4 linked regions of the Stegostoma tigrinum genome follow. The protein of the gene in region 4 binds, or shares a complex with, the protein of the main gene of each other region. Links are inferred from orthologs where the notes say so. Each region holds a gene or a part of one and is shown on either strand. Other genes may lie near its edges.

Region 1 (7,987 bases), on a different chromosome or scaffold from region 4:
TGAGTCTTGGTGACACACGGGTGTTCTATCTACCAAATGCTAACTGTGAAGTGGCAATGGATTTGTTTATCCAACACCCCTACGTTTTGATTTCTGACAGTGATTTCTGTTTTCATTTCTCCTCTTCTGGACCACTAAAGTAGTTTTCCATCCCACATGGTGGAAGAGGCGTTGCTTCACCAGTGAATGCTAAGGGGGTCCTGCAGATCGTACGGGCGAGTAACAGCATCATGATGTAGTTTGTTTACGATCAGATATTCCATTTAGTACTTTTCTTTCCCCCCCACCCCAGTAAAGCATTTCCAGTAGCCTGGCTTTAGGTACAAACTGTTCGGTGATGATTCAAGCACTGTGTTTTATTAACTTTTGTTTCCACTGTTGTTTCCATTGTGTCGGAAACAGAATAAAATTTAACTATCAATAAAAAATGGAAGTTGGTAAATTTTATATTTTAGATGTCTTAATTTCTGAATAATAGTTTAGCGTATTCTGTCTGTGTTGTACAGCAGGTCTCAAGACCACACCGTTCCAGTTGTCAGCAATGGGTGCTTAGTTGCCTAATAGGCAAAAGACTATCTCCAGACTCTCAGACTGGAACTTCAGTTTTCATGATGGCTACCAGCTATAGTTAAGAAAAAGCTTTGTCTGATATCAGCCAAAGTTAACACATTGAGAATGTTAAGTGTAAAATCTTTTTTCTGGTGTGGTTTGGGGAAGGGATGACCTTAATATTACTCATCTTGCCATATAGTGTGTGTTTGATGGTCCTAGTTGGTTTGCACTCTTGAACAAGGCTCTGGCCTGCGTTATTACTGCCCTGTCAGTTACATAACAAGAGCTCACTAACAGGAAGGGGAATTGAACAATAATATTACTATGACAGTTGCTCTATAGCTTAACTCGAGATGCTTGCATTACAGTTCTGTCAGTGAATGATTTTCACATCTACCAAGCAATATTTTTTCCCTAATTAGTCGAGGACACAAGTTGGAGCTGGCTTCCAAAATCAGGAGCAGCATAGACTTTAGATTTGAACAGTTCATAATGCAAGGCTTCTGTGGCAAAAAAAAGGCCTCTTTCTACTGTGCTTTCCCCTGTCTACACTAATGGCAGCCCGGCACGGATTCCCTCTGCTCTCAATCATTTCATCCTGGTTCCTATTCTTAAAACAAAGCCTTAGAGGAAGTGACGTTGTTTTCAAATTTAGTCAATGTTGCAATGCTGCGTATTGGATACCTCATTTATTTTGTATCAATATCCCCAACCTACTGATATAATTGCTCTTGTATCTAAATACTGTACCTGACTTGTCGAAAGCCTCAATAAAAAGTTAACAACCCGGCATAGAGCGGTGTTGATGTCTGAGGTCATGCAAGAGTTTCCGTCTCATTTGCTTAATGGAAGAATCTGCTATTGGGGTGGGTTTTTCTTTTTTAAAAAAGAAAATTTGCTTGAGACGTGTTTAGTTTCTTTCAGTTTTGCTTTTAAAAGGAACTAGCATTAATTTGTGGTCCAGTTCTTCCCTTGGACATGCAGCTTCAGCTGTATCTGACAGAACAATTGGAATTCAGCCTTCTGACCTCCTTCAGACTTTGATCAGTAATGGAAAGTAATGTAAGGATTTTAGGAAACAGATTATCCAATAAAGAGGATCTATTGTTTAGCATAAATAATTATTATTTTCACCTCCATCAGAGGAAGTGTCTGTTATTGCTGTATTGTACAGTCTGGAAGATAAGAATTCACAAACTTGTGTGACATACCAGAAGAGAGAATCCTCATTTAGTTTCCCTTTAGTGCTTTGTGTTGGGAGTATTTGTGCAAATCTACCTGAGCAAGACACTTGGTTGAAAATGTTCAGAATAAAATCTACCTTGCATTGTAAAATGTTGCGTAGTCCCCAACATCTTGATTGATGACTCACTTTAATAAGCAAGACAGACCTTTATCAATGTGATTACATCTTTGCCCCAAAATGGTTGTCAGTTTTATCAAATGCCTTTGCAGAATTTACGTAATGTTGGGGTGTGACTTCATTTAAATTGGGATAGGAGGAGACCATTTAATCTCTTGAGACCTTACACTGCCACACAATTATATCATTGCCATAAACTATCTCAACATTACACACCTTTGTTCCTTATCTCCTGATCCCTTTAACTAACAAAAATCTATTGTTCTCAGTCAACATTGAATTGTGATTGGGAACAATCAACACAACATTTATAGCCTGGAGAAAATGGTCCAGAGTTCTGCTACTCTATGTAGTAAAAGTCCTTCTTAATTTCATCCTTAACTGATTTAGCATTCGTTGTAACATTGATGTTTTATTCGGGATTCCAGTCAAGGGAAATTTCTTTTTCGGGGCTATTAAACACATTAATTTTTTTCTACTCAGTACTTTGCACTCCATTGACTTAATATTGATTGTAAATGCTGGACTTTAGCTATAACTAAGCTTCTCTGTGACAGTGATGACAGTGGAGTTTGGATAATGATTTCAAAGAGGGACAGCAGAGCATGGAATGGGGAATCAAAAGGAAATCCGAGTGCATCCTTGGCGTCGGTTTACCTTTTTGATTTACAGACTACTGGTCAATGGGGGCCTTTTCTGGATGGATGGACTTTATGCCGTGCTATCTATTTTCCCCCACTGCTGTACGTTGACAATGTTGGAATTCAGCATTCTGATCTCTCTCTCTCTTTTCCATTGCTGAAAAGCAATAATTTGGAGAAACAAACAATGCTGGAGACACACAGCAAGTCTGGCAGCATCTTAGGAGAACTTCTCTTTTCAATGTGCTTTGGACAACCACATCAGACTATGAGTAAATTAGCACCCAGTGGTGTGTTCACAAGATCCACCAAATCAAGAGGCAAGGAAGGCAGTCCAACAGCAGCACCCTCCCCCAACAATGTGGCCAGCAATTATTCCTGGCAGAATCATAGAACAAAAGAACTGTCAACGCTGGAGATTGAAAACAAAAACAAACTGCTGGAGAAGCTCAGCAGGTCTGGCTCCATCTATGGAAGCAAATAGACACAATGTTTGATATCCAGTGACCCTTCCACAAACCAGTTGCTGTGGGCAGGATCTCATTTGTTGATCTGATAGACTCCCAAAGCAGCTGCTCTGGTCTGAACTTAGTTTTTACAGGGGTCTGCCGGGAGGGCAGTGGAAGTGGTTTTGTTGAGGTGCTTGAAGCATTCCTGTCAATTCGTGCAATCCCTGGATCGGTTTTGACTGAAGTGGGGAAGAATCATTTCAAAATGCACAAATGCATTAAGGGATTTGCTTGAGAACATGTAGAATTGGTGACAGCACACAAACTCCCAAACAACCATCTAAGCAACTCTTCAAATAGCACCTGCTCTCCCTGTGTTAGAATCTGCTGATCCTTCCAGAACCCATTGAACAGGAGTAGGAGCAAATCATTCCCAGTAGTATTGCATATAATTCAGCTGTTCTTTCTTGAGAAATCCATTCTGCAATTTGACCATTTCTGAGAGGGTGGGCAAGATGGCAAAAGGTCAAGTTGAAATTGGTTCAAATGCTGAGGCTGGGGAAAGAAAGTGAAACAGGTAAAAATGGGGGGGGGGGGAGAAAGTGAAACGGGTAAAATGGGGAGGGAGAGAAAGTGAAACGGGTAAAAAGGGGGGGGGAGAGAAAGTGAAACGGGTAAAAATGGGGGGGAGAAAGTGAAACGGGTAAAAAGGGCGGGGGGAGAAAGTGAAACGGGTAAAAATGGGGGGGGAGAAAGTGAAACGGGTAAAAAGGGCGGGGGAGAGAAAGTGAAACGGGTAAAAAGGGGGGGGAGAGAAAGTGAAACGGGTAAAAATGGGGGGGAGAAAGTGAAACGGGTAAAAAGGGGGGGGAAAGAAAGTGAAACGGGTAAAAAGGGGGGGGAGAGAAAGTGAAACGGGTAAAAATGGGGGGGAGAAAGTGAAACGGGTAAAAAGGGCGGGGGGAGAAAGTGAAACGGGTAAAAATGGGGGGGAGAAAGTGAAACGGGTAAAAAGGGCGGGGGGAGAAAGTGAAACGGGTAAAAAGGGGGGGGGAGAGAAAGTGAAACGGGTAAAAATGGGGGGGAGAAAGTGAAACGGGTAAAAAGGGGGGGGAGAGAAAGTGAAACGGGTAAAAATGGGGGGGAGAAAGTGAAACGGGTAAAAAGGGCGGGGGGAGAAAGTGAAACGGGTAAAAATGGGGGGGGAGAAAGTGAAACGGGTAAAAAGGGCGGGGGAGAGAAAGTGAAACGGGTAAAAATGGGGGGGAGAAAGTGAAACGGGTAAAAATGGGGGGGGAGAGAAAGTGAAACGGGTAAAAATGGGGGGGAGAAAGTGAAACGGGTAAAAAGGGCGGGGGGAGAAAGTGAAACGGGTAAAAATGGGGGGGGAGAGAAAGTGAAACGGGTAAAAAGGGGGGGGAGAAAGTGAAACGGGTAAAAATGGGGGGGGAGAGAAAGTGAAACGGGTAAAAAGGGGGGGGAGAAAGTGAAACGGGTAAAAATGGGGGGGAGAAAGTGAAACGGGTAAAAAGGGCGGGGGGAGAAAGTGAAACGGGTAAAAATGGGGGGGGAGAAAGTGAAACGGGTAAAAAGGGCGGGGGGAGAGAAAGTGAAACGGGTAAAAAGGGCGGGGGAGAGAAAGTGAAACGGGTAAAAAGGGCGGGGGGAGAGAAAGTGAAACGGGTAAAAAGGGGGGGAGTTAGTGAAGGTGATGCCGGAGGCGGGGGGGGCGCGGTGAGTGAGCGAAGGTGATGCCGGTGGGGTGGGGGTAGGGGGGTGGAGGTCTCAGGTACTTTCTGGCTGGGCGGCGGAGTATGGGTGACGTTAGGTTCCGAGTGCTCCGCGGTGATCCGGCTGTGCGAGCTACTCTTTCCGGGCTATTTATAGAATGGGCGTGGTGACCTGGTCGAGCATGCGCGGGTTTTTGGCGCCACTGCCGCGGTGTACTGTGGGATTAGTGTCCGAGTGGAGCCGGGGCAGTCGCGGTGGGAGAGAGTGACTGAGTCGGAGGGACGGAGTCAGAGCGAACCGGCAGGGATACGGGAAGCGACAGACAGGTACTGAGCCGGGAGGGAGAGCCAGCACCATGCCCAGCGGAGAGAGCCGGGACGGCGGCAGGCGGTCACTGCGTGACAGCTTCGACAAACTGTGTCAGGACCTGAACATGGATCTGGAGAGCGGGGCCGAGGCTTGGGAGAACCTGCAGCGGATCCGCCTCAACTACACTCTGGAGGTGAGGGTGGCTGGGAGTAGGGGTCGTCGCAGAGCCTCCCCAACCCCGGTCTATCTCAACTACAGCGTTGGAGTTGAGACCATAAGATATAGGAGCAGAATTAGTCTATTCAGCCTATCAAGTGGAGATTTACTGGGATGCTGCCTGGATTTGGTGGGGTGTGGTGGGGCAGCTCTTATGAGGAAAGGTTGGGGGAGCCTGGGCTTTTTTCATTGCAGTGAAGGATGAGAGGTGGCTTGATAGAGGTGTACAAGATGATCAGAGTGCATAGTCAGACTTTTTCCCAGGGCGGAAATGACTGTTACGAGGGGGACATAATTTTAAGGTGATTGGAGGGGGGCATAGGGGAGATGTCAGAGGTAGGTTCTTTATACAGAGAGTGGTGAGTGTGTGGAATGCGCTGCCAGCAATGGTAATAGAGTCAGATATTTTAGAGCCTTTTGGACAGGCATGTGGAGGGTAGTAAACTGTAGTGGAAGCAGGATAGATTGATCTTAGGATAATAGATCAGCACAACATTGTGAGTCAAAGCCTGTATTGTACTGTTCTATGTTCTATATGTTAGTCTGTGCCCCCATTTGATCACAGTTGATGTGTTGCTCAAACCCATCATCCTGCCTTCTCCCTGTAACCCCTGATCCCCTCACGAATCAATTGCTGTCTTAAATACAGTCAACCATTTGGCTTCCTCAGCCTGCTGCGGCAGTGAGTACTTTGGCAGGAAGCATACAGGCATTGACTGCTTTCTAAATGGGGAAAGGCTTTGGAATTGAGGGAATGTATCTCATTGAGACTTAAAGAATACTGAGACGCCTGAATAGATTGGACATGAAGATGATGCTCCTACCTGTAGGAGAGACTTGGTCCCAAGAGCACAAACTCAGAGTGAAGGGACCATCCTTTAGAATGGAAGAGGACTTCCTTCAGCCAGAGGATAGTTAATTTGTGGAACTCATAGCTGTTCTTGATTGGCAATAGGAACAAGGATGGGGGAGAGAGGGCAGGAGATCGAGGAACATATCTGCCATGATCAAGTGGCAGAGCAGATTTGATGTGCTGAAGAGCTTAATGCTGCTCCTATCTAGAGTGGTCTAAAGTGTGAACCTCATTTGTGTGGAATTTAAGTTTTTAAACTGAGAATTTAAATTTCTCTTGATTATTAATGCAGTACCACTACCACATTCAATAAATAGAACAGTTGAAAACACAGTTTGTGGTTAACTAGTATATTGCTGATCATTTCTGTGATATATGATGTCTTTTTGATGAGTGCGGAAGTGATGTGTGTAGTGGTTGGTTTTAAAACACACCAGCTGCATTTCTGTGTTGTGGAATTTGCTTTATGTTTGTACTTGTCTCTAACTTGGTCACTCTGCAAGTTTCACTTGTTTCCTTCCAATAATTAAGATTATTGCTAAGGAAAAATAGTTGCAATATAAACATCTGTAACAGAAGAAATAGATTGAGTCATTAAATGCATTTTTCAATTTAGAGTTAAACTCACTTTCAATTTATAATTTCACTGATATTTTGTGCTGTAAATTGGATTGATTCTATTTGTGCCTGCCCATTTGCTACAAAATCAAAGCTAAAGAACATTTCACTCAATAGTCATGCCTGCATGAATGTCCTAATTATCAATTCTATGTTGATATTGCACCTGGGGAACTATTGTATGTTAACCCAGGTGAAGTTGCAGTGAAACAGTGGAATAGTTCATGGAGTTTGAGGATTATTTCAGTGATTTCAAATTCATTTTGTGGAGATCAGGACTTTGGTGTGAGCATATGTTATGTACTATGTACACTTCTGGTCTCCAAATCTAAGCTCACGTATATCTATTTAGTGCAACAAAGATTTACTCGATTGGATCCTGGAATATGAGGATTCCCTTGTGTGGGGCCATGAAAAATGAGGAGAAATCTCATTAATGATAAGTGTGGAGCTGGGTGAACACATCTCCTAAGTGCTCCTAAGATGCTGCTTGGCCTGAGGTGTTCATCCAGCTCCACACTTATCTTGGATTCTCCAGCATCTGCAGTTCCTATTATCTCTGAGAAATCTCATTAAAGCTTTTTAAAATCACTGCATGTGTTATGAAGCGGAAATTGATGCCCCCCCCCTGCCAAAAATCTGTTAAAAGAAGTATGAAAAGTGTTATAACCAGCTGGTCATCCCCAATCTGTTGTAAAGGAGTGGTTAAATAAAATGGAATCTTTTCACTTACTCAATCAACAAAATGTAACAATTTACTTATCTAACTTTAACAGTGAACAAATTAGCAAAACTACTAACAAACAAACAATTCCCCCTTAACTATTAACTACTCCTGAATAAAACAAAACTCTTCAGTAAGGTGATGTCACCTCACCTCAGCCAACGAAGGAGCAGCACTCCAAAAGCTTGTGATTTCAAATAAATCTGAACTATACCCTGGTGTCATGTGACTTCTGACTGAATATGTTCAAGGGTGAGAGATCTTTTGACGTTTCAGAACCTAGCAATATGGAGAGCAAGTGGGAATGTGGAGTTGAACTGAAAGGTTAGTCACGCCCATACTGAGTGATACACCAGTCTGGACAGACTAGTCTGATTGTGTTCCTATTTTTAATGGACTCGTTTCTTAATGCTTGTTTCAGGGAGAAACTCTGCACTGGCTTGCATGTGCCTTGTATGTAGCCTGTCGCAAAAGTATCACGCCAACTGTTGGCAAGGGGACAATGGAAGGAAACGGTGTGTCACTGACAAG
Region 2 (7,360 bases), on a different chromosome or scaffold from region 4:
GCTGTCACTAACAACAGCTTTGTTTTAGAATGATTGTAACACCAGAGACACAGGCAGGAAGAGGGAGGTGGGGGTGGGAACTGGGGCTATATATTGACAGATTCTCCAAACTGTGGACCAAACCTTCAAAGTCTCCACCCACCCCAGCCTCCAGGAATGACTGACAGGGGAATTCCCCAATCAGCTAGACTAGCTGCGAGCAATGTTCTCCCTCGATGTAGCCTTGCCGTTTTGTCCCTCACCGAGAGTGGAGAATCCTTTCGCATACTGCAGTGACCTGTTCCTAAAACCTGGGTGACATGCACTCTAATGGGACGGTATGAGATGGCTTATTGAACTGTGGGAGGAATCACGGCACAACGAGACGCTGACAGAGTCAGTAGTGGAAAGCCTCGGGATCCGAGTATCACAGTGCCACACTGGCAGGTGCTGCAGCCGGCAGGCTGACAGCAGCAACCGAAGGTCTGACCAACCACTGAACAGCTGAAACCACAAACCCATGACCAAAACCCAGGCCCAAGGAGAGGACACATGGTGACGGATAGCACTGGACTGGCTCAGTCACAGTTTCTTTAACTAAGTGGCCAAAGGTCAAGATCAATCATGAATCCAGCAGCAGCCTAAATCAAGAAGGACTTAAATAGGTTCACATCTTCTCCAAGATAGCAGCAATGGGAACTTTCTGATGCCAATGGGGTACTTCTCCCACCGTTTTCCTGAGCTCCACCCGAGATCTCAATCTGAAGCCGCACCCACCCTCTGCAATGTTAACACAAGGGAACAACTGTTATCTGTTAGCCCAGACTGATGGCAAGCTATTCGACAGTGTGAGCAGCATTTTAGAATTGCATGTCTTAATTAGATCTCTTCCATGTATCCCTTTCCCTCACAGGACACCCAGAGCGGTGACTGAAGCAAATACTTTAGGGCTGTCCTAACTGAGATGCAGTGGCTCAGCGCAGGATTAAACCCCTGACCTTTGGTTAACTGTGTGTGGCACTCAACAATGCACCTAGCTACTGAACCAGAGTGACCATGTGTGCTGTTGAACAGATTCCAGCATTGTCTCGGACTTTGCCAAACAGTGCTGCAAAACAAAGCTTTACCTGTGCGACTGCAGGAACAGTTATTACCCAGCGAATTTCAACAGTGACTCAGTGTGAATGGTCCCCGTAGCCACAGCAATGAATTCAGCAATAGGACACCTGCACACTTGATAGGGCTCCTCGGTCCTCTAGTACAATGTCATATAAAAGACAATATTCACCCTTACTGCCAATAATGAGAGAGAGGGGGAGACACCCGCACACACACAGTGGCAGAGAGGGACAGAGGGCTGTTGGGGGAGGGAGAACAGAGGTTGGGGGGGAAACAAATAAGTTCAGAGGTTGGGGGGGGTTAAAGGAAGGAGGGCTCAGGCAGAGGGGGGTGGCTGAGTGTGAACCGGGAGGGTGGCGGTGTTGAGGGACAGCAGGGGGTGGGGAACTGGGAGGTGGTGGTGGTGACATTGAGGGAGAGGTGGGGGGGCGTCAGAAGGAAATGTCAGGGGGTTGTCAAAGGGAAATGTGGGGGGGGTGGTCAGTGGAGAATGTGGTCAGTGAGAGGGGTGGTCAGTGGAGGAGGTGGGCGGCTTGGTCAGTGGGAAACATGGGGGGGGGGAGGTCAGAGGGGAATGTGAGGGGAGTGTGGTCAGTTGGGGAGGTGATCAGTGGGGACTGTGGCAGGGGAGTGGTCAGGGGGAATGTGGGGGGTGTAGTCAGTGGGGGAGGGAGAATGGTGAGTGGGAAATATGGCAGGGGACTGTGGCAAGGGAGTGGTCAGTTGGGGGGGTGGTCAGGGTGAATGTGGCAGGGGGTGGTCAGTGGGGAATGTGGGAGGCGGAATGGTCAGTGGGGGGGTGATCAGTGGGGAATGGTCAGTGGTGGGGCGGTCGGTAGGGAATGTGGCAGCGGGGTGATCAGTGGGGAATGTGGAATCGGAGTGGTCAGTGGGGGGTGGTCGGTAGGGAATGTGGCAGGGGAGTGGTCAGTGGGGAAGTTGGCAGCGGAGTGGTCAGTGGGGAAGGTGGCAGGGGAGTGGTCAGTGGAGGGTGGTCAGTGGGGAAGGTGGCAGGGGAGTGGTCAGTGGGGAAGGTGGCAGGGGAGTGGTCAGTGGGGGTGTGGTCAGTGGGGAAGGTGGCAGGGGAGTGGTCAGTGGGGAGCAGTCAGTGGGGAAGGTGGCAGAGGAGGGGTCAGTGGGGGGGTGGTCAGTGGGGAAGGTGGCGGGGAGGGGTCAGTGGGGAATGTGGCAGGGGAGTGGTCAGTGGGGAATGTGGCGGGGAGGGGTCAGTGGGGGGGTGGTCAGTGGGGAAGGTGGCAGGGGAGGGGTCAGTGGGGAATGTGGCGGGGAGGGGTCAGTGGGGGGGTGGTCAGTGGGGAATGTAGGGGGGTGGGGTAGCTGAGTAGGACGATACCAATGTGAATGATGGTGGGGGGTGGAAGCGGACGCGCTGCACCGGGAGGTTGAGCACGTGCTCTCCCGCAAACCCCCCTCCCCCCCGACCCCCAACCAAGGCCGCGCGGTGTCTCCGGTTTCGGAGGGGGGGGGGGGTTGTTCGGTGTCCAGCTGCCCCTCCCCTTTTAACACCCCCCCCCCGAAAAAAAATCGCTCCTCATTCCTCTCCCAGAGCCGGCGGAGTGTGTGTGTGTGTGTGTGTGCCGGCCTTTCGGTGCTCCTTACCCCCCCGGGGGGGGGGGGTGAATCCAACCCCACCCCCAGGGGCCGTGTACCCGCCCCCCCCCCCCGGATTAAACCCCCGCTCCCCTCACCACTTTCAGGTCGAGCACCCCGTCCTTGGCCTCCTGCAGCAGGGACACGAACTTGGTGGTGAGGAGTCCCAGGCTCTTCTCATGCCTGCTCGGAGTCTGCGGTAAGGCCTCGGCCATCTTCACCAACACACTCACTTTATTTCCTCACTCACTCACTCCCTCCCTCCCTCTATCCTTCTCTCTGTCTCTCTCGGTCGGTAGCCGTTAGCAGCGCGCAGCACGCCGGGACTGATTTGAACTGGGAGCAAACAGCAACACCCCCCCCCCCCGCCCCAACAAACAACCTCAAACCGGGCCCCGGCCAGGGACCGTCCTCAAACCTCCACCCTCTCCGCAAAGCGCAGACAGCCCCGGCCAGGGACCGTCCTCAAACCTCCACCCTCTCCGCAAAGCGCAGACAGCCCCGGCCAGGGACCGTCCTCAAACCTCCACCCTCTCCGCAAAGCGCAGACAGCCCCGGCCAGGGACCGTCCTCAAACCTCCACCCTCTCCGCAAAGCGCAGACAGCCCCGGCCAGGGACCGTCCTCAAACCTCCACCCTCTCCGCAAAGCGCAGACAGTCTCTTTCCCCCTCCCCCCCCCCCCCAATTCCAGGTCCCATCCAGGGAGCATCCTCAAACTGCCACCCTCTCTGCAAGCTGTCAACTGTCCCAGATCCCAGCAAGGGAGCGTCCTCAAACCCCACCCGTCCCCGCAAAGAGCAAACTGGCCCCCCCACCAGGGAGTGCCCCTAAACTGCCTCCCTCTGCGCAAAGCTCGAACAGCATGCCCCAGCCAGGGAGCATCCTCAAACAGTTGCCATCAAATGCAGTGGGCAAACAGCACCGACCACACCAAGGGACTGTTCTCAAATTGCCTCTCTCCCGGCAAAGTGCAAACAGGAGTACCAGTGAAGGAGTATCATCAAAACACCACACTTCCAGCAAAGCACAAACTGTGGCTCTCAGGCAGCATCTGCAAACTGCCACTTTGCCCACATGTCACAAAACCACCCAAGGAACATCTGCAAATCACTGAAATATCAAGAAATGCAAAACTTCCTGCTGCCTACCTCGGGGACCGTGTATTAAAAACATGCTCCCCAGAAACCACAAACCTGCCTGCCTTAGGAAGTGCCTTTAAACCCACACTCCTTCTGCAACCCTCCCATACCCTCCATAAAGTTTGGAACATTGGGGTGGGGTTAGGAAGCCATCTTCAACATCCAAGTTTGAAGGCTGTGAAATATTGATATGAAATAGGAATTGAGACCTGAGGTTTATCAGTCCTGATCTCATTGAAAGGCAGGGTAAGCTTGTGGTGCCAAATGTCTTCCTCCTGCTCCTTTTCCTTGTTTTTGAACAACAATGTTCCGAATGAAAGAAGATTTCGGCTCAGCTGCCCAAACCCCTCCACCAATCTCCCTCCAAGGTCTTCTGCCAACCACCTTCATTCCACATTTGTCATGTTTTGGGGAGGTGGTGGCTTCATTCTATCGTCACTGGTAATCCAAAGACCTGTGTTAAAGCATTGTGAAGCGTGGGTTCAAGTCTCATGTCAGATGGTGAATTTTTAGTTCTGTGACTAAATCAAAAACTAGTCTAATAGTAATTATGAAACCACTAGCAATTGTCATCAAAAACCATCAGGTCCTAAAATGGCCTTAAAAAATGAAAATCTGCCACTAGTATGACCTGAATGCCATTCGAACTTTGCTTGTAGCCATAGTAGCCTCTCAATTGTATCAAACTGCTACAAAGCCTAAAAGAAAGGAATAAAAACAAAAGCATTGACCAAGCGTCGGAAACAATAATAATACCCACAGCCCTGTTGTCCCGAAAAAGTCCTCCTTATTAACAGATCTAGCAACTTAAAACTGCAAATGAAGTGCTATCAATCATCATCAGCTGAACTGTATTTAACCAGAATCTGTTATCTAATGGCCCAGTGTGTCCCCCACTGTACTATTGCCAAACAACTCCATAATCAAACCTGGTTCAATGAGGAGTACAGGTGGACATGTCTAGAACCAGTACCAGGCATACCTCAAAATGATATGTTAACCTGGTCAAACTACAACACAGGACAACTTGCAGGCTAAACAGCAATAGAGAGAGCTAAGGATCCCACAACCCAATGAATCATAGCTAAATGTTGCAGTCCTACCCTATGCAGTCATGAGCAACATGGACAATTAAACAACTGAAAAGAGAAGGATCCACAAATTGTCTGTGATGGAGGTGCCTTCCACGTTAAATCAAAAGACAAGATAGAATTACTGTCAACCATGTTTAGCCAGAAGACCTGAGTGGATGATCCATCTCAGCCTCCTCCTGAAATCCTGAATATTACAGATTCCAGGCTTTAGTCAGTGCACTCCATGCGGTATCAAGGTACAGTTGGAGATGTTGGACACTGTGAAGATCATGGACCTTGACAATATTCCAGCAATGTTACCACAGACTTGCTCTGCTATGTTCCTAAACATGCTGCCCTTGTACAGTTACAACATTGGCATCGTCCCAATAATGTGGAAAATTGCCTGTGCCTGTCCTGTGCACAAAAGCACAGGACAATCCTACCTGGCCAATTACCACCTCAGCAAACTGTTGGAAGCTTCTGTCTGTCATGTTATTAAGTGACACTTAAGTCAACGATAACCTGCCACTACCAACATCCTTGTGGTTACCATTGATGAGAAGCTGAACTGGACTAGCTGTAGAAATGGAAAAAGAACTGCAGATGCTGGAGTCGGAGCGAATACAGTGTGGAGCTGGAGGAACACAGCAGGTCAGGCAGCATCAGAGGAACAGGAAAGATCCTGATGAAGGGTGTAAACCCAAAATGCCGACTTTCCTGCTCATCTGATGCTGCCTGACTTGCTGCGTTCCTTCAGCTCCACATGTATTGACTAACAGTAGAATTGCTATGTCAACAAGAAGTGGTCAGAGACTAGGAATTCTGTGGCCGCTAACTCAGATCTCAGATACTGTCTCCCTCTACAAGGCACAAGTCAGGAGTGTGATGGAATACTCTGTGCTTGATTGGATGCGAACAGCTCCAATAAAACTGAAGAAGCTTAACACCATCCAGGATAAAGTGGCCCGCTTGATTGGCACTCCATCTAACACCTCCAATATTCACTCCTTCCATCATCAATGCACAATGGCAGCAAGTGCACAAGATGCACTGGAAATATTCTCTAAGGCTCCGTTAATAGCTCCTTCCTGACCTTCCACCTCAGAGGTCAAGGCGAGCAGAAACATCAGGCCCCAAAATGACTTTCTCTCTCAAATGTGGATGTTCACTGTTTGATGCACAATGATCAATTCCATTCACAACTCCATGGACATGAAGCAGTCTGTGCCTGCGTGCATCAAAGTATGCTGAACAATTAGAAACCAGACAACCGTCCAATTGGTGAGAGCTTTACTTTCAGTTTAAAAGAGTAGATGGAGCATTACTCACTATGTGCTGTGCCTGTCCAAGAAGCATTTGATGAAGACAGTGTTAAGAGACATTAACTTTCTGTTTTAAAAAAGTAGAGTAAGCTTTACTCTATATTGAACTCTATGCTGTACTTGCTTTGGAATGTTTGATGAGGACAGTGTAGACAAAGCTTTACTCTGCTGCTAGTCCCTATGCTGTCCCTATCCTGGGAGAGTTTAATGGAGACAGTGTAGAAAGACCTTTATTTTCAGCTTTCTTTCCATTTAAAAGATTTGAAGGAACTTTACTCACTGTCAAACTCTGCGTTGAACTTGACCTGGGAGTTTTTGATGAGGACAACGTGGAGAGAACTATACTTCCAGTTTAAAAGAGTAGAGGAGCTTTACAGTGTTGGCAAAGATCTGTAGCTCGGGTTGTGGGTGGGGTTATTGACTTGCTCACCGAGCTGGCTTGTTCTCATTCAGACGTTTCGTCATCATGCTTGGTGACATCATCAGTGAGGCCTCTGGGGAAGTGATGTTGTTCTACTCCACTTGGAATTTATACTGTCCGGTCCATTGTGGTGAGTACTGTCATTTCCAGGTTTGATCTGTATGGGCTTGTATATGGGGTCCAACTCTATATGTTTGTTGATTGAAGTATGGGTGGAGAACCGTGCCTCTAGGAATTCCCATGCATGTCTATGTTTGGCTTGGGCTACTACGGTTACATTGTCCCAATTAAACTGATGGCCTTCACTGTCTGAGGGTACTGATATGAAGGAAAGTTCATCATGTCATTTTGCTGCCAGCTGACCTTAACCTATTCTGATGGCTTTGCAACGCTGCACAGTACCTGTCCTGGAAGTGTTTGATGGGGAAAAAGAACAACTGTGCAAGGTAGTAGCCATCTCCAACACCAACGAGTCCAACCACTCCATCATAATTTTCAACAGTATCATGATCACTGGATTATCTTCTATTGCCATTCTGGAGAGGTGGGGGAGTTTGGTCGATGTTTATTGACCAGAAACTAAGCTGGACCAGCCTTATAAACATAGAGGCCACAACAGCAATTGAGGCAAGAAATACCCTCCTGACTCTCCAAACCCATCTTGGAACTACGATGTTGTGGCCATTACAAAA
Region 3 (7,117 bases), on a different chromosome or scaffold from region 4:
AGGATCTGGTGGACTCTTTTGGGAGTAGACTGCTGAAGAATTGAGAACTGGCCCAGGTAAAATAGAATGCCAATGATATTGGTAGACAAAGCAATAAATGAGCCTGAAGTGGTCTCTGATGCAGAAAAGGTTGAACACAAGTCAAGGCAAAGTGTTACGAAGGAAAATTTTGGTCAAATGATAGGAGAAAGTAAAATGAAGCAGTGAATGATTCTGTATGATCAACATCAGTTCAAAATACAAATGAGGTCTAAACTAAATACAAAAATTTCAGCCAAGTGTGAGAAAATGGCAGAAGGAGTATAAGAGATTTGCAGTTAACCTAAGAAGGTAGCAAGAGGAGTGGCAGAACTCAGACATACTCATGGAGACAGAAAACATTGTTGAGTTATTTAATGACTTAGCGTCTATCTTCACCAAGGAAGATGTTGTGCAAGCCACAATGAAAGAGGAAGTTGAGAGACTTAAAGGCTAAAAATTTATAAAAGTATTAACTAAAGCAAAGTGTGGATTTACCAAGGGTGAATCATATTTAATTAATACAAATGCATTAAAAACTGCAAAGGCCTGAAAGATCATCATTAGGCAGCATGTGTGAAGAAAAACCGAATTACCGTCTGGCTGAGTACTTTTATCTTGTGTTTGAATTTCATGTTATTTAAGAAAACAACTTGAATTAAATTAGTTAAAAGTAACAGAACGTTTGAGGGTAACATGTTTAAAAGTCGTGTACACAGGCTTCTAAAAGATATTTGATAAAATGTCACATAACAGGTTTGCTAATAAAGTTGAATCCATAGGTAGTGGATACAAAGCTGGTTGAAAGACTGGAAACAGTTGTGGCGAATGGTTGATACAGGGTTCCCCAGAAGCCAGTGCTATGAACTTAATTTTCCTTAATCTATGTTAATGATAGATTTGTGTGGATGGCACAATTTCAAAAATTTAGATCAGAAAAAAAACTCGGAAGTTGTGCGAACTGAGGAACAGAGCAATCACTTCAAGGAGGTCAAAGCAGGTTGATGGGAGTGGGTAGATTAAATTTAATACAAACTGAAACTTACATTCTGTTAGAAAATTCAAGAAAAGGCAAGGAAAACAAACAAAGGCACAACTCTAAAGGAGTGCAAGAGGAAAGAGACCTAGGGTGTGTGTGTGTGTGTGTGTGCATGCATTGTGCAGAGTGGCTGGGACTGATTGAGAAAGCAATTAACACATCCTTCATTTATAAATAGAAGTAGAGTAAAAATTCAATGTAGTGATGATAAACCTCGTCGTTTATCCTCAACTGTAATTTTGTCTCCAAGAAGGGTGTGAAAGCTTCAGAGTGACAACAGAAAACATTGGTAAGATTAGTTCTAGGGATGAGGGGCTTCAGTTAAGAGAAAAGGCTACTGTCCTTAGAGAAGTTTAAGAGAAGTATTTGACAGAGGTGTTCAAAATCATCAGGGATCTAGACAGCATGGACAGGAAGAAGTTACAGTGCTACGTAAGAGTCAGAGGACACCAAGTTAAGGTGCATGATAAAACAAACAGTGCAAGGAAAAACAATTTTTCCAAACAACAACTGAGTGACTAAGATCCAGCATACACTGCCTAAGTGTGGGGTGGTGGCAAATTCAATCATGGCTTTCAAAAGAGAATTAGATAAGTAGCCAAAGTCTTTTTTTAAAAGAAAAGTTAGCTTGCAGAAAAAGATCAAGGGGAATGAGATTAGGTAAACTGCTCTTGTAGACAGACAGCTCAGGCAATAGGCTGAATGGTTCCAGTGTGGCAGGAAGCCATTCTACAAATCTGCTTGATAAACTCGTCATTTCAAATAAAATTATTCACCAGAATACCGAGTACCAAGAACGTATCAGGATAAACTAACTTATTTCCAGCTTACATGAAATGGACTTGATTTCTGTCATTTATTACATGGAAGAATAGGCAAGAAAACTTCAATCCATTTAGCTGGTACTCATTAAAACTATCCTGAAAATCCTATTTAACGCTTTCAAGATAAACAGTGGAATCCTCGTGAGATTCAGGGACAGAAAAACTCTGTATTCCTCTCTCCTCGTATTCCAACCCAACAGAAAAAAACAGAACCTGGGTAATGTTACTACATTGATTTATTCATGGTTAATCTAGGCCTACAATCAATTTGACAACTAAAGACGGCGGTGATTTGAACCGAATCCTAGCAATTGCTATTGGCCAACTACTGCCAATTGTACTCTTGGCCAGGTTCTGTGATCAGTTTTACAGCGATGTTGCACGCCCAGCTATGATGTGGCGTGTTATACCTCCAAAAACACAGGAATGACAACTCAACAGGTTGAAATTTGTCACGTTATACCTGATGCACTGTGCATATTCAACTTTGAACTTTAGCAGCTCCCTAATAAATTTACCTAGATGGACGTAAACATACGCAAACTGCCTTTTGCAAAACTAATCATAACATGACAATGATCCATGGGCGCTTCATTTAGTTTTGTTTTGATAATACATTTGTATAAGAATAGATGCAAACATCACAGGTCCCGTGTAACTCGCTGCAGGCAGCTGACAGCCAGTACAACTTCAAAAATAAAAAAAAAGACAGCTCAATGTTCCACGCTAGTAGTCCTGATGAGCGAAAAGCCACCCGCAGAGCACTCACCTCCGGGCTCGCTTGGCCATCACTGACAGGGACGATTGTCTCCCTTTTCTGCCTTTCCCAGGACTCCTCAATCACTCACTCCGCTCGGGGACTCCGGGATGGTTAGTCTCCGATCATTAATACATGGGCTGAAGGTCGCTGTTGGCTGCCTGAGTACCAGCGGTGGGGTCACCATATCCCCAAGCAGCCCGAAGAGAGAAAGAGTGTATTTGTGTGTTTCTCTCTATATATATATATATATATGTGTATGTATGTACGTGGCTATAGGGGAGCTCAGCTCTCCACTGCTGCCTCTCAGCCACTCTCACTGCTCCGTTTCTATATCCCGCCAAATCTCGCGCCCTGCCTTCCCTCTCAAACACTCCCCGACAATATTTGAATGTGCGCACGCGTCCTGACCGTTCATAGGGCCCTCCGTGCGAGGGGGGCGGCGCGAGCGGCAGCGCGGGCACGTGACAGGCACACTGGAAATTGTAGTCCACATCGAAGCCCGTGCGCCTTGACGGCGAACTTCGACTGCATGCGCACTTGACAGGCACTCTGGGAATTGTAGTCTATATGGAAGCCGTGCGCCTTGAGAACCAACATCGAGTGCGCCATCTTGTGTGGGTCCCAAACACCGCCGCTGCTGTTGGCAGGCGATGGGCAAGTCTGTCATTGATGAGTGCCTGTTGCAAAAAAACCTAACCATAATGTGACAGTTTATTTCAATTAAGTCCTTTTTTTTGTTAAAACATACGTAACAAGAATAGCCAGGTCGGTGTAGTAGTATCATAGAATCCCTGCAGTGTGAAAGCAGGCGACTCGGCCTGTCGAGTCCGCACCGACTGTCTCGAGATCCAACCCAGACCCACACCTGTCTTTCCCGTAGACACTGAGGGCAATTTAGCACGGCCAATTTGCCTAACCTGCACGTCTTTGGACTGTGGTAGGAAACCCACGCAGGCACGGGGAAAATGTGCAAATTCCACACCGTCACACCCGACGTTGGTATCGAACCCAGGTCTCTGGCAGCAGGGCTTACCCCTGAGCCACTGTCACACCTAGTGTCCCTACTTCTGAGACAGCAGGCCCGGGTTCAAGTGCCACCTGAGCCCAAAGTGGGTTATAACATTTCTGAACGGTAAAGATCAAAAAATATCGAAAGGAATAGATGTAAACATCGTACTCAGCCGGTCTGTTGCGAGAGAAACAGCGTTAATGTTTCAAGTCCAATGACCCATTCGTCAGATGAAGTTTCTCTAGCGATTTCTGCTTTTGTTTCAGATTTCTATCATCTGCAGTTCTTAGTTTTATCGTCGTAGTTTCAGCATATCTCACAACGTGTATGTTTGTAATAAACCTTTACTCGAGTTACAAACCGCAAATTATAGAATATGGTCCCATCTTGGAATGAATGTATTTTCTCCCCCTAACCAGCAACATCATTAGACTCTTAATTCCAGACTTCTTATTAAATTCAGTGCCACCGCTTGCCATGGGAGGATTTGACCATGGGTTCCCAGAGCATCACCTGTATCTCTGGATTAGTCCAGGGATAATTTGGCTGGGCCATCACCTCCCCACACTTTAAAAAGGCCCTTGCTCTCAAAGTTCTCACTGAGAGGTTACAACGTTTGAGACTTCGAAATGGTGTCAGAGCGAGAAAAAAATCTGAGGAGTGGTGTTTGTGTTATTGCTATCTTTATGTTGTACCTTTCTGTTTCTTCTGCTTATGTTCCTGGAATAAGTAGACAAGGGTTTAACTTATTAAAAAAACTTGCATTTATAGGTAACGCAGTGTAGAGTAGGAGGAACACAGCAGGCCAGGCAGCATCAGAGGACATGGGGCTAGTGTTTAGATTCCTACAGGGTGGAAACAGTCCCTTCGGCCCAACAAGTCCACACTGCCCCTTGCAGCATCCCACCCAGACCCATCCCTCTATAACCCACACACCCCTGAACACTATGGGCAATTTAGCATGGCTGATCCACCTAGCCTGCACATCTTTGGACTGTGGGAGGAAGCTGGAGCACCTGGAGAAAACCCACACAGACACAGGGAGAATGTGCAAACTCCACACAGACAGTCGCCTGAGGGTGGAATCGAACCCGGGTCCCTGGCGCTGTGAGGCTGCAGTGCTAACCACTGAGCCACCGTGCCGCCCTAGTGGGGAGTGTGGAGCAGACGAGGGAGTCATGGAGAGACCGGTCCCTATGCAAGGCAGATAGTGGTGGGGAGAGAAATATATCTTTGGTTGTGGGGTCGGATTGCAGGTAGCAGAAATGACAGAGAATGATACGTTGAATATGGTTAGTGGAGTGATAGAATCCCACTTGTTCTCATATATCTTTGTTTTTGTTGCAGAAAGGGATGTGAGGGCAGAGGTGCGGGAAATGCAAGAGATGTGGGTCAAGTGCATTTTTGACCACCAAAGTTGGGTGGGACAGGATGTTGCGGTCCTTGAAATAAGAGGACATCTGGGATGTTTGGTAGTGGAACCCCCCCCATCTTGGGAGCAGATGCACCAGAGGTAGAGGAATTGGGAGTAGGGGATCCCATTCTTGCAAAAAGGTGGGTAAAAGGAGCTATAGTCTAGGTAGCTGTGGGAGTCACTGGGCTTGAAATAAATGTTGGTTTTGAGGCGGTTACCAGACATAGAGATATCAATATCCAGGATGGAGAGAGAGGTATCAGAGATAGTCCAGGTGAACTTGAAGTTGGGGAGAAAGGGGTTAGTAAAGTTGAGGAACTGTTCAAGCTGTCTCAGTGACTCCCTCTTCTGCTCCACATTCCCCACTAGCCCCACCACCCCTAGCACCTTTCCCTGCAACTGCAGGAAGTGCTACACCTGCCCCCACACCTACCCCCTCACCTCCATCCAAGGCACCAGACAAACCTTTCACATCAGACAGAGGTTCACCTGCATATCTGTCAATGTGGATTATTGTATCTGCTGCTTCTGATGTGGCGTCTTCTACATCGGTGAGACCAAGTGGAGGCTCGGAGACCGCTTTATAGAGAACCTGCATTCTGTTCGCGACAGACGACAACACCTTCTCGTGATGAACCATTTCAGCTCCCCCTCCCTGGGCGACATGTCCATCCTGGGCCTCCTCCAGTATCACAATGACACCGCCTGGAAACTGAAGGAGCAGCACCTCATATTCCATCTTGGGAGCCTACAACCCAATGGTCTCACCGTGGACTTTACTGGTTTCAAAATTTCCCCACCCCGGCCTTATCCCATGACTAAGCCTCTCTCTTATCCCCGCCTCCTTGATCTGACACAATCTGTCCATCTCCTGTCCCACATATCCGCTCTTCCCACCTCACTGACCAATCCCCACCACTGCTTACCTGTGCTCACCTATCACCATTCCACCTACCTTCCCCTGCTCACCCCTCCTCTTCCATTTCTTAAGGGTCCTGTCCCAAACGTGAATTTTCCTGCTCCTGTATGCTGCCTGGCCTGTTGTGTTCCTCCAGCTCCACACTGTATTATCTGACTCCAGCATCAGCAGTTTTTACTGTCTCTGACTGGCATTTATATCAGTTTTTTCACTGACCCTAAGAGGCCCCAATGCAATTTACAGAAAGCAAGGTATTAAGTACAGTTACTTATGTAATGATTTTGCATTAAATATCAGCCTGAATTATTTTTAGATTTAAATACCCCTGCAGACTCATTATGAAACAGGAGCTTTACTGGAACACATCTTACTGTTCTGTTTTACGTCTTCCACAAACTTGTACGATCACCATATGACATCACATCACTTTCAGACATAGATTAGTACTAATCTATTAACAGTCCATTAAAATTCACACCGCCTCCATCTTCTCAAAATCTCTAATGGTGATTTCTGGATTGTGAAAAGCAACAATCCACAACCTTGAACTCTGGTATATTCAGTTCTTAAATGTTGTTTTCTCCTCATGTCCTTTCTCCATTCCTCTTTTAAAGACCACAATGGTTGTCCCCATATGAGTCTATGTCAAAGGGTCCTTGTCTCCTCTGAAGGGAACAGAAACATTGAAGATAGCAGGAGGCAGCCCTTCAGCCCTTTGCTCCTGCTCTGCCATTGTTCATGTTATGCTGATTGTCCAACTCAAAAGCCTAACCCTACTTTCTCCCCACAACCTTTGATCTATTTTGCCTCAAGTGCTATATCTAGGCACATTTTGAATACGTTCAGTGTTTTGGCATCAACTACTTCCTGGGGTTATTAAATCCACAGGCTCACCACTTTTCCGGTGAAGAAATCAGGGCTTTGAGTCCAGCACATTGTCTCTTAGACTTTCCTAGGCAGGAGGGAATTGATAGCTGACTTTGACTTGCAATGCACATTTTCAACTGATTTGATGAATGGATGCAGTTTCTCTGATTTATTAAATTGGGTAGATGACTGCGTCCACAGGCTACATGGCAACCAGTGCAAGCCTGTTCCATCTTACCTCATTACACAGCCTATTATTTTAATGAT
Region 4 (7,350 bases):
TTAAAACCAATAGTGAGGGAAAGAGGAGGAGATGACCTGCAGGTTTTCTTATGGATGGATAAACAGAAGATTTGGCTTGATCCAATAGTACTAACTTGTGTGATCTTGTGATGTTATGAATAGGCGCAAGATAAGATAACAGTTTAAGTTACTCGCAGACCTTGGGTTTTTAAGTATACTGAGGGGTTCATTGCAGTATAATAACTATGGCGCAGTTTATTTATCTATGGATGGCCACATTGTAGAATTAATTATGGTTTGGTTTAATTAAATGAATGCAAGTCAAGCAGAAGTGATCTCACTAAAATTTTATAATAGGCGTGAGAGATTTGTACAATACATATTCATGCAAATCCAAAAAATCCAAACTCAGCTGGCTCTCTGCAGACAGCACGGTGAACATTATAACCTGGGGGGCAAAGTCATACCGATGGCTGCAGATCTGTCACTGGTAATGCGTAGCAATGAGTATTCCGGCATCTTACAGACACCAAACTAGATGTTCTTGCATGCATCACTATCAACACGTTGGACAGGCCCAAAAATGTTACTAAAGATGTTAGTCACATAGAACTTTACTGTTATACAATGACATACTTCTCAGGAGGCTTGGCTAACATCTGGCAATGACCACCATGGGGACACAGATTAGGCCCACCCAATTGTACCAACATCATTAAATGACCCCATTAGCAACAGATCCTAGGCCACAAACTAGGGAAGTCCTAGGTTAAAATGGAAACTCACCATAATAGTTTCCTTCTTCTGGTCAGAAGGTATAATCGGGGAAGGGAATGAAGAGTCACAATACAGCACAGAACAACATCCTGGTCATCCTGCTTATATCAGTTCAAAGGAGCTAGCCAATAAACAGTACTCCCCAAGTCTTCCCCAGAGCCCTTCAAATTTCTCCTTCTTCAAAGATGTAGCAATTCCTTTCCAAGCAGTAGCGCAGTTTTGTCAAAAGTCTGACTTGAGGAAAAGCCTGACTACCATCCAGTTCCTTGAAATCTATGACTATGTTTTAGGGATACAATGGTAATTCACAAATACACTACCATGCTGAAACATTCTGAAGAAGCAATCTGTTAAGAGTTGCAAGCACTTGCACAGTTCACAAAACTGTCATAGGTAAAGCAGCGATCAAAAACATTCAGTAAGCAAGTTTTTAATGGCAAAATTTATCTAAAATGATAAACTGTAAACATCCCCTCTCACTAAAAACTATTCTGCTCCTCTACACTGAGTAGATGAACCTGTAACCCATCACTCCCATTAAAAAATATTCACATGGACCTCAATCCAAACTCAGCAACATAAGTCTTGTTTCACACTTGCAGAAATAATCAACTGGAAAATGCATCAAAATTTACACACTTTGAACATGAAAAATGGCTAAGGCACTTGCCACAAGGGAACAAACAGCAAATAAAGAAGTTTGATAACCTCTAAAGATACTTTATGTCCTCCACTTCTCCAAACAAGACAGTGTCAGACCACAGATTAAAAACCTTCAGCAGCAACTTGTACCTATAGAGTGCTGTAAACATTGTAAAACATTGCAAGCTGTTGCGCAGGAGTGAAGCAACAAAATCTAATACCAAACCAAGGCAATCTTGGGGCAGGTGATCAAAAGCTTGATCCAAGTAGTTTTTTTTCTCAGAAGTGTTTTAAAGGAGTAAAGCGAAGTTTGTGGTGAGGAAATTGCAGAATGTAGGGCCTGAGAATGAAGGAATATGGAAAGAACTAATAAGGCCAAAATTAGAGTACAGATTACAGAGGATTGAGAGGCTGAAAGCAATTACAAAGATACTAAGGGTTGAGACCATCGAGTAGATCTGCAAACATGGAGCGAGAATTCCAGAAATGTAATTTGGAGCCAGTTTAGGTCAGTAAAGATGACCCAGGAACAGGATCTCATCAGAATCATTGCTTACAGACTTTTGGATGATGAGCCAGCCAGAAGTGCATCGAATACGCTACACAGTATCCCACATCTTTTACAGCAACAGGCTTAGGCTATTCAGCCCCTCACATATACTTCGAGCACTCATACCCACCCCGCCACTTTTTCAGCACTATCCAGGAAACCTCCAATGACCAAGACAAAACAGGGGGGGCCCGCCCCCAACAACGTCTTTGATGCAAACACACTGCAACCTCAAGTCTTCTCGCAAAACAGAACGGATCACAGCATAGAGTCACATTTGTCAGGCGGCCTTCAAATCCATTACATACAAAAAAAAACACATCAAACAAAAAAAACCCCACAGCATCTACATCCAGTTTCAAATTTAAATAAACAGTATCACAACTTTCCCTCGAACAGTGGGAATCGCGTTAAAGCGGACAGCCACCACAGCTACCCCCGCGACACAGACACACACCCCTCTCCAGCTGTGATTTATCTTTTCTAGCCGGGAATCCGTCTCCCCACTCAGCCCCTCACTCAGAGTCAGAGGAGGAGGAGGGCCTGTCCTGGGCGGATAGCCCCAGGTAACGGGGGGGGGAAACAGTCCGAGTGTGACAGCCGCCCACATCCACAGGCAGCTCCAGGTAGGGGTGGGGGTGGGGGTGGGGTGAGGTGATCCGGATCCGCCCCACGCCCCAAGCACCCTGTCCCGGCAGTCTGCGGCGGAGGAGGCCGCCCCGTGCGGACCCGGGATCCGCCGGTGCCCGGGCCCCGAGCTCCGGCCCCGGCCTGTCAGTCAGTGTCGGATCCTCGGCCCTCATCAGGCAGACTCCGCGTTCCCCCACCCGCCGGGCAGGGACACGACCTGGGCTCCCGGAGGTGGGCTGGATGGAGGGGAGGAGAAGGGGGGGGGGGTCGTTGGACGAGGAGGCTGCTGGCTGTCAGGGCGTCCCGACCCCTCGGGGAGTCTGTCTCCCTCCCCCTCCCGGATTTCCTTCCTTCCCCCACCCCCGCCCCGGACTCACTCTCATCCGGCAGCTCCTCCACCTCCGCCATCTTGAATCGGCCGCGCCGCTTTTCAAAGCGAGCCGCGCGGCATTCTGGGCGATGCAGGGCGGCAGAAACAAACCTTCGCGAAGAGGCGCCGGCAGAGCCGCCGGGGCGCGTGTGGCGTCGCGGGATCGCCCCCTGGGTCGGCAAGCTGGGAGCGGGCTGGCGAGGAGAGCGAAGGCGTGGGTTCGAGTCCCAGCGCCCCCCCACCCCCTCCTCCTACTTCATCAACGTCTTGCAGTAGGGCGGTGATTAGTTATATGGGGGGGGGGGGGGGGGGTCTCTATAAAAGTTAGCCTCACCGACTGTATGGAGTACGTGGGTCACCTTGAGCAGGATATTCTGGGGTTGGAGGAATGATCGAAGTGAATCCAGGAGGAGGCACTTGCTTGGTTGCCAGAGGTAATGGGAACTGGAGAATCCAAGATAACAAAGTGTGAAGCTGGATGAACACAGCGGGCCAAACTCACTGCGAAGCCTCTTCCAGGGATGCCTAACCTGAAGAAGTTACCCTCCTCCCTCAGGGCATAACCCTCTCTGATGAAGGGTCTAGGCCCGAAACGTCAGCTTTTTGTGCTCCTGAGATGCTGCTTGGCCTGCTGTGTTCATCCAGCTCCACACTTTGTTAACTGGCTTGGTTATGTTTCAAGTAGAATCCCTACAAGTGTGCAAACAAGCCCTTTGGCTCAACAAGTCCACACTAGCATCCACCTAACCTGAACACCACAGCATGGCAATTTCCCATGGCCAGTTCCACCTAAACCCGCGCACATCTTTGAACTGTGGGAGGAAACCCACACAGACACAGGGAGAACGATGCAAACTCCACACAAACAGGTGGAATTGAACCCAGGCCCTTGGTGCTGTAAGGCTGCAATGTTAATGACTGTGTTGCCCCAAAACCTGCAAAAAAACAAGTACCTGCTGAGCTTTTCCAGCAATTTCTGTTTTGAATACATTGTCACAACCCTAGCTTATTTATTCTCTCTTCACAGCTGAATTCTAACTCAGGGAACATCCTGGTGAATCTCCTGTGCAGCCCCTCTGGTGCAGTCACGTCCTTCCTATAGTTTAGTGACCAGAGCTGCATGCTGTATTTCAGCTGTGGCCTAACTAACACAATATACAGCTTCAATATAACCTCCCTTGCTCTCCTCTTCCAATACCTTGACTAACAGAGGTAAATATCACACATGCCCTCTCAGCCTTATCCACCTGTCCTGAGTTAATGAACAAATGATAGCCAGGAAAACACAGAGTTTAACCTTCCACATTAAATAGATGTTTACCTGCACATCTGTTAATATGGTATGTTGTATCTGCTGTGGCCTCCCCTACGTCAGGGACACCAAGAGAGGCTCAGAGACCGCTTTGTGGAGCACCTACATTCGGTTTGCGACAAACAACACCTCCCAGTCGCGAACCACTTCAACTACCCCTCCCACTCCCTGGACAACACGCCCATCCTGGGCTCCTCCAGTGTCACAATGATGCCATCCAGAAACTGGAGGAACAGTGCCTCATATTCTGCCTTGGAATCCTACATCCCAATAGTCTTAGTGGGCTTTACTAACTTAAAAATCTCTCCAGCCCCGACCTCATCCCAAGACCAGCTCCCCCCTCTCATCCCCGCCTCATTGACCTGTCCGTCTTCTCTCCCACCTATCTGCTCCTCCCGCCTCACTGATAATCCCCACCCCCACTTCCTACCTACACTCCCCTTTACTAGCTTCATCTCCGCTTCCCTGACCTGTCCGTCTTCTCTCCCGCCTATCCACTCCGTTATCAACCTTTTATCACCGGCCCCCTGCCTATTTATTTCATAGCCCCCTTCCCCTCCTCAATTTCTGAAGGGTCCCGAAACGTCAGCTTTTGTGCAGGACTCTCTCCCCCTCCCCCTTTTCTGATGAAGGGTCTAGGCCCGAAACGTCAACTTTTGTGCTCCTAAGATGCTGCTTGGCCTGCTGTGTTCATCCAGCTCCACACTTTGTTATTCCAGACCCAAAATGTCAGCTTTCCTGCTCCTATGATGCTGCCTGGCCTGCTGAGTTCATCCAGCTCAACACCTTTTTGTCCTGACTCTAGCATCTGCAGTTCCTACTATCTCTCACAGAGGACTCCCCTATTCTTCCAAAGAACACTGTAGGATCCTGTAAATTCATTTCAGGCACAGATGCCTCAGTTTAACATGCTTGTCTGAAAGTTGTGCATCATTTGCCCATTAAACAAGGCTGGATTCTGTGCTAAGATAACACAGTGTGGAGCTGGATGAACACAGCAAGCCAGGCAGCATTAGAGGCGCAGGAAAGCTGATGTTTTGGGTCTGGACCATTCTTCAAAAAAAAGAGGATGCTGCCTGGCCTGCTGGGTTCATCCAGTTCTACACCTTGTTATCTCAGACTCCAGCATCAGCAGTTCCTACTATCCCTGGATTCTGTACTGCTGTTTGGATACTGAAGCACAAGATTGCATGTGCAAGAGATCAGTGCTTAGAACCATTGAACAAGGCAGGAATGCACCTTTCACAGTTTGTAGTCACTGAAATATGCCAACATTGTTGAGCATGCCTAAGAAAGATACATCTAAGGAAGAGAATGTGCCAACTGATTTGATTTATTGTTGTCACATGTACCTAACTACAGTGAAAAGCTTTGTTTTGCAAGGAGTACAGGCTGATTATAGCAAACCAGGACATACAGATCGTACGGTGCTTAGACAGAGCGAGGCATACAAGGTTACAGCTGCACAGGAGGTCATAAAGCAAGATCAACATTATTTGATGTTACAGCTCATTCAGCAGTCTATTAATGGCAGGGAAGAAGCTGTTATTGAACCTGTTGGTGAATGTGGTCAAGCTTCTGTGCCTTCTGCCTGATGGAAGAGAACATTAGCAGGGCGGGTGGGGTCTTTGATGATGTTGGCAGCCTTTCCGTGGCAACGAGAAGTATAAATGGAGTCCTTGGATGGGAGAGATAATGGGACTGCAGATGCTGGAGAATCCAAGGTAATAACGTGTGAAGCTGGATGAACACAGCAGGCCAAGCAGCATCTTAGGAGCACAAAAGCTGATGTTTCGGGCTGAGACCCTCCATCAGAGAGGGGGATGGGGTGAGGGTTCTGGAATAAATAGGGAGAGAGGGGGAGGCGGACCGAAGCTGGAGAGAAAAGAAGATAGGTGGAGAGGAGAGTATAGGTGGGGAGGTAAGGAGGGCATAGGTCAGTCCAGGGAAGACGGACAGGTCAAGGAGGTAGGAAATGGAGGTGCAGTTTGGGGTGGGAGGAAGGGATGGGTGAGAGGAAGAACAGGTTAGGGAGGCAGAGACAGGCTGGGCTGGTTTTGGGATGCAGTGGGGGGAGGGGTCAAGCTGGGCTGGTTTTGGGATGCACTGGGGGGAGGGGACGAACTGGGCTGGTTTTGGGATGCGGTGGGGGAAGAGGAGATATTGAAGCTGGTGAAGTCCACATTGATACCATTGGGCTGCAGGGTTCCCAAGCGGAATATGAGTTGCTGCTCCTGCAAACTTCGGGTGGCATCATTGTGGCACTGCAGGAGGCCCATGATGGACATGTCATCTAAAGAATGGGAGGGGGAGTTGAAATGGTTCGCGACTGGGAGGTGCAGTTGTTTATTGCAAACCGAGCGGAGGTGTTCTGCAAAGCGGTCCCCAAGCCTCCGCTTGGTTTCCCCAATGTAGAGGAAGCCACACCGGGTACAGTGGATGCAGTATACCACATTGGCAGATGTGCAGGTGAACCTCTGCTTAATGTGGAAAGTCATCTTGGGGCCTGGGATGGGGGTGAGGGAGGAGGTGTGGGGACAAGTGTAGCATTTCCTGCGGTTGCAGGGGAAGGTGCCGGGTGTGGTGGGGTTGGAGGGCAGTGTGGAGCGAACAAGGGAGTCACGGAGAGAGTGGTCTCTCCGGAAAGTAAACAGGGGTGGGGATGGAAAAATGTCTTGGGTGGTGGGGTCGGATTGTAAATGGCGAAAGTGTCGGAGCATGATGCGTTGTATCCAGAGGTTGGTAGGGTGGTGTGTGAGAACGAGGGGGATCCTCTTAGGGCGGTTGTGGCGGGGGCGGGGCGTGAGGGATGTGTTGCGGGAAATGCGGGAGACGCGGTCAAGGGCGTTCTCGACCACTGTGGGGGGAAAGTTGCGGTTATCATCACTCCCAAGGATTTGAGCCTTTCAACCCGATTCATTGATGGATAGGGGTGTGTCCTCCTCCTTTCTTCTTGAAGTCAGTGATAATTCTTTTGTTTTTCCAACACTGAGAAAGAGCTTGTTATCATTGCACCAAGCCCCCTATCTCCTTTCTGTTTTCTGACTCATCATTGTTAGTTATCCATCCTCCCATGGCAGTATCATCAGCAAACTTGTAAATGGCATT

What was found.
Region 1: lin9 (region 4) and rbl1 share a complex: the UniProt entries of both Homo sapiens proteins name them as parts of the DREAM complex. The link is inferred for Stegostoma tigrinum from reciprocal best matches to the Homo sapiens genes LIN9 and RBL1.
Region 2: lin9 (region 4) and e2f4 share a complex: the UniProt entries of both Homo sapiens proteins name them as parts of the DREAM complex. The link is inferred for Stegostoma tigrinum from reciprocal best matches to the Homo sapiens genes LIN9 and E2F4.
Region 3: lin9 (region 4) and mybl1 share a complex: the UniProt entries of both Homo sapiens proteins name them as parts of the DREAM complex. The link is inferred for Stegostoma tigrinum from reciprocal best matches to the Homo sapiens genes LIN9 and MYBL1.

The regions. Positions count from the first base shown.
Region 1 is NC_081372.1:1,760,562-1,768,548, reverse strand, and holds the start of rbl1 (retinoblastoma-like protein 1), read left to right. Parts: upstream 1-4,970; 5' UTR 4,971-5,091; coding exon 5,092-5,238; intron 5,239-7,877; coding exon 7,878-7,987. UniProt on the Homo sapiens protein: Key regulator of entry into cell division. Directly involved in heterochromatin formation by maintaining overall chromatin structure and, in particular, that of constitutive heterochromatin by stabilizing histone methylation.
Region 2 is NC_081369.1:8,294,355-8,301,714, reverse strand, and holds the start of e2f4 (transcription factor E2F4), read right to left. Parts: upstream 3,004-7,360; 5' UTR 2,925-3,003; coding exon 2,808-2,924; intron 1-2,807. UniProt on the Homo sapiens protein: Transcription activator that binds DNA cooperatively with DP proteins through the E2 recognition site, 5'-TTTC[CG]CGC-3' found in the promoter region of a number of genes whose products are involved in cell cycle regulation or in DNA replication.
Region 3 is NC_081358.1:31,539,382-31,546,498, reverse strand, and holds the start of mybl1 (myb-related protein A), read right to left. Parts: upstream 3,005-7,117; 5' UTR 2,671-3,004; coding exon 2,651-2,670; intron 1-2,650. UniProt on the Homo sapiens protein: Transcription factor that specifically recognizes the sequence 5'-YAAC[GT]G-3'.
Region 4 is NC_081357.1:10,405,968-10,413,317, reverse strand, and holds the start of lin9 (protein lin-9 homolog), read right to left. Parts: upstream 3,005-7,350; 5' UTR 2,969-3,004; coding exon 2,938-2,968; intron 1-2,937. UniProt on the Homo sapiens protein: Acts as a tumor suppressor. Inhibits DNA synthesis. Its ability to inhibit oncogenic transformation is mediated through its association with RB1. Plays a role in the expression of genes required for the G1/S transition.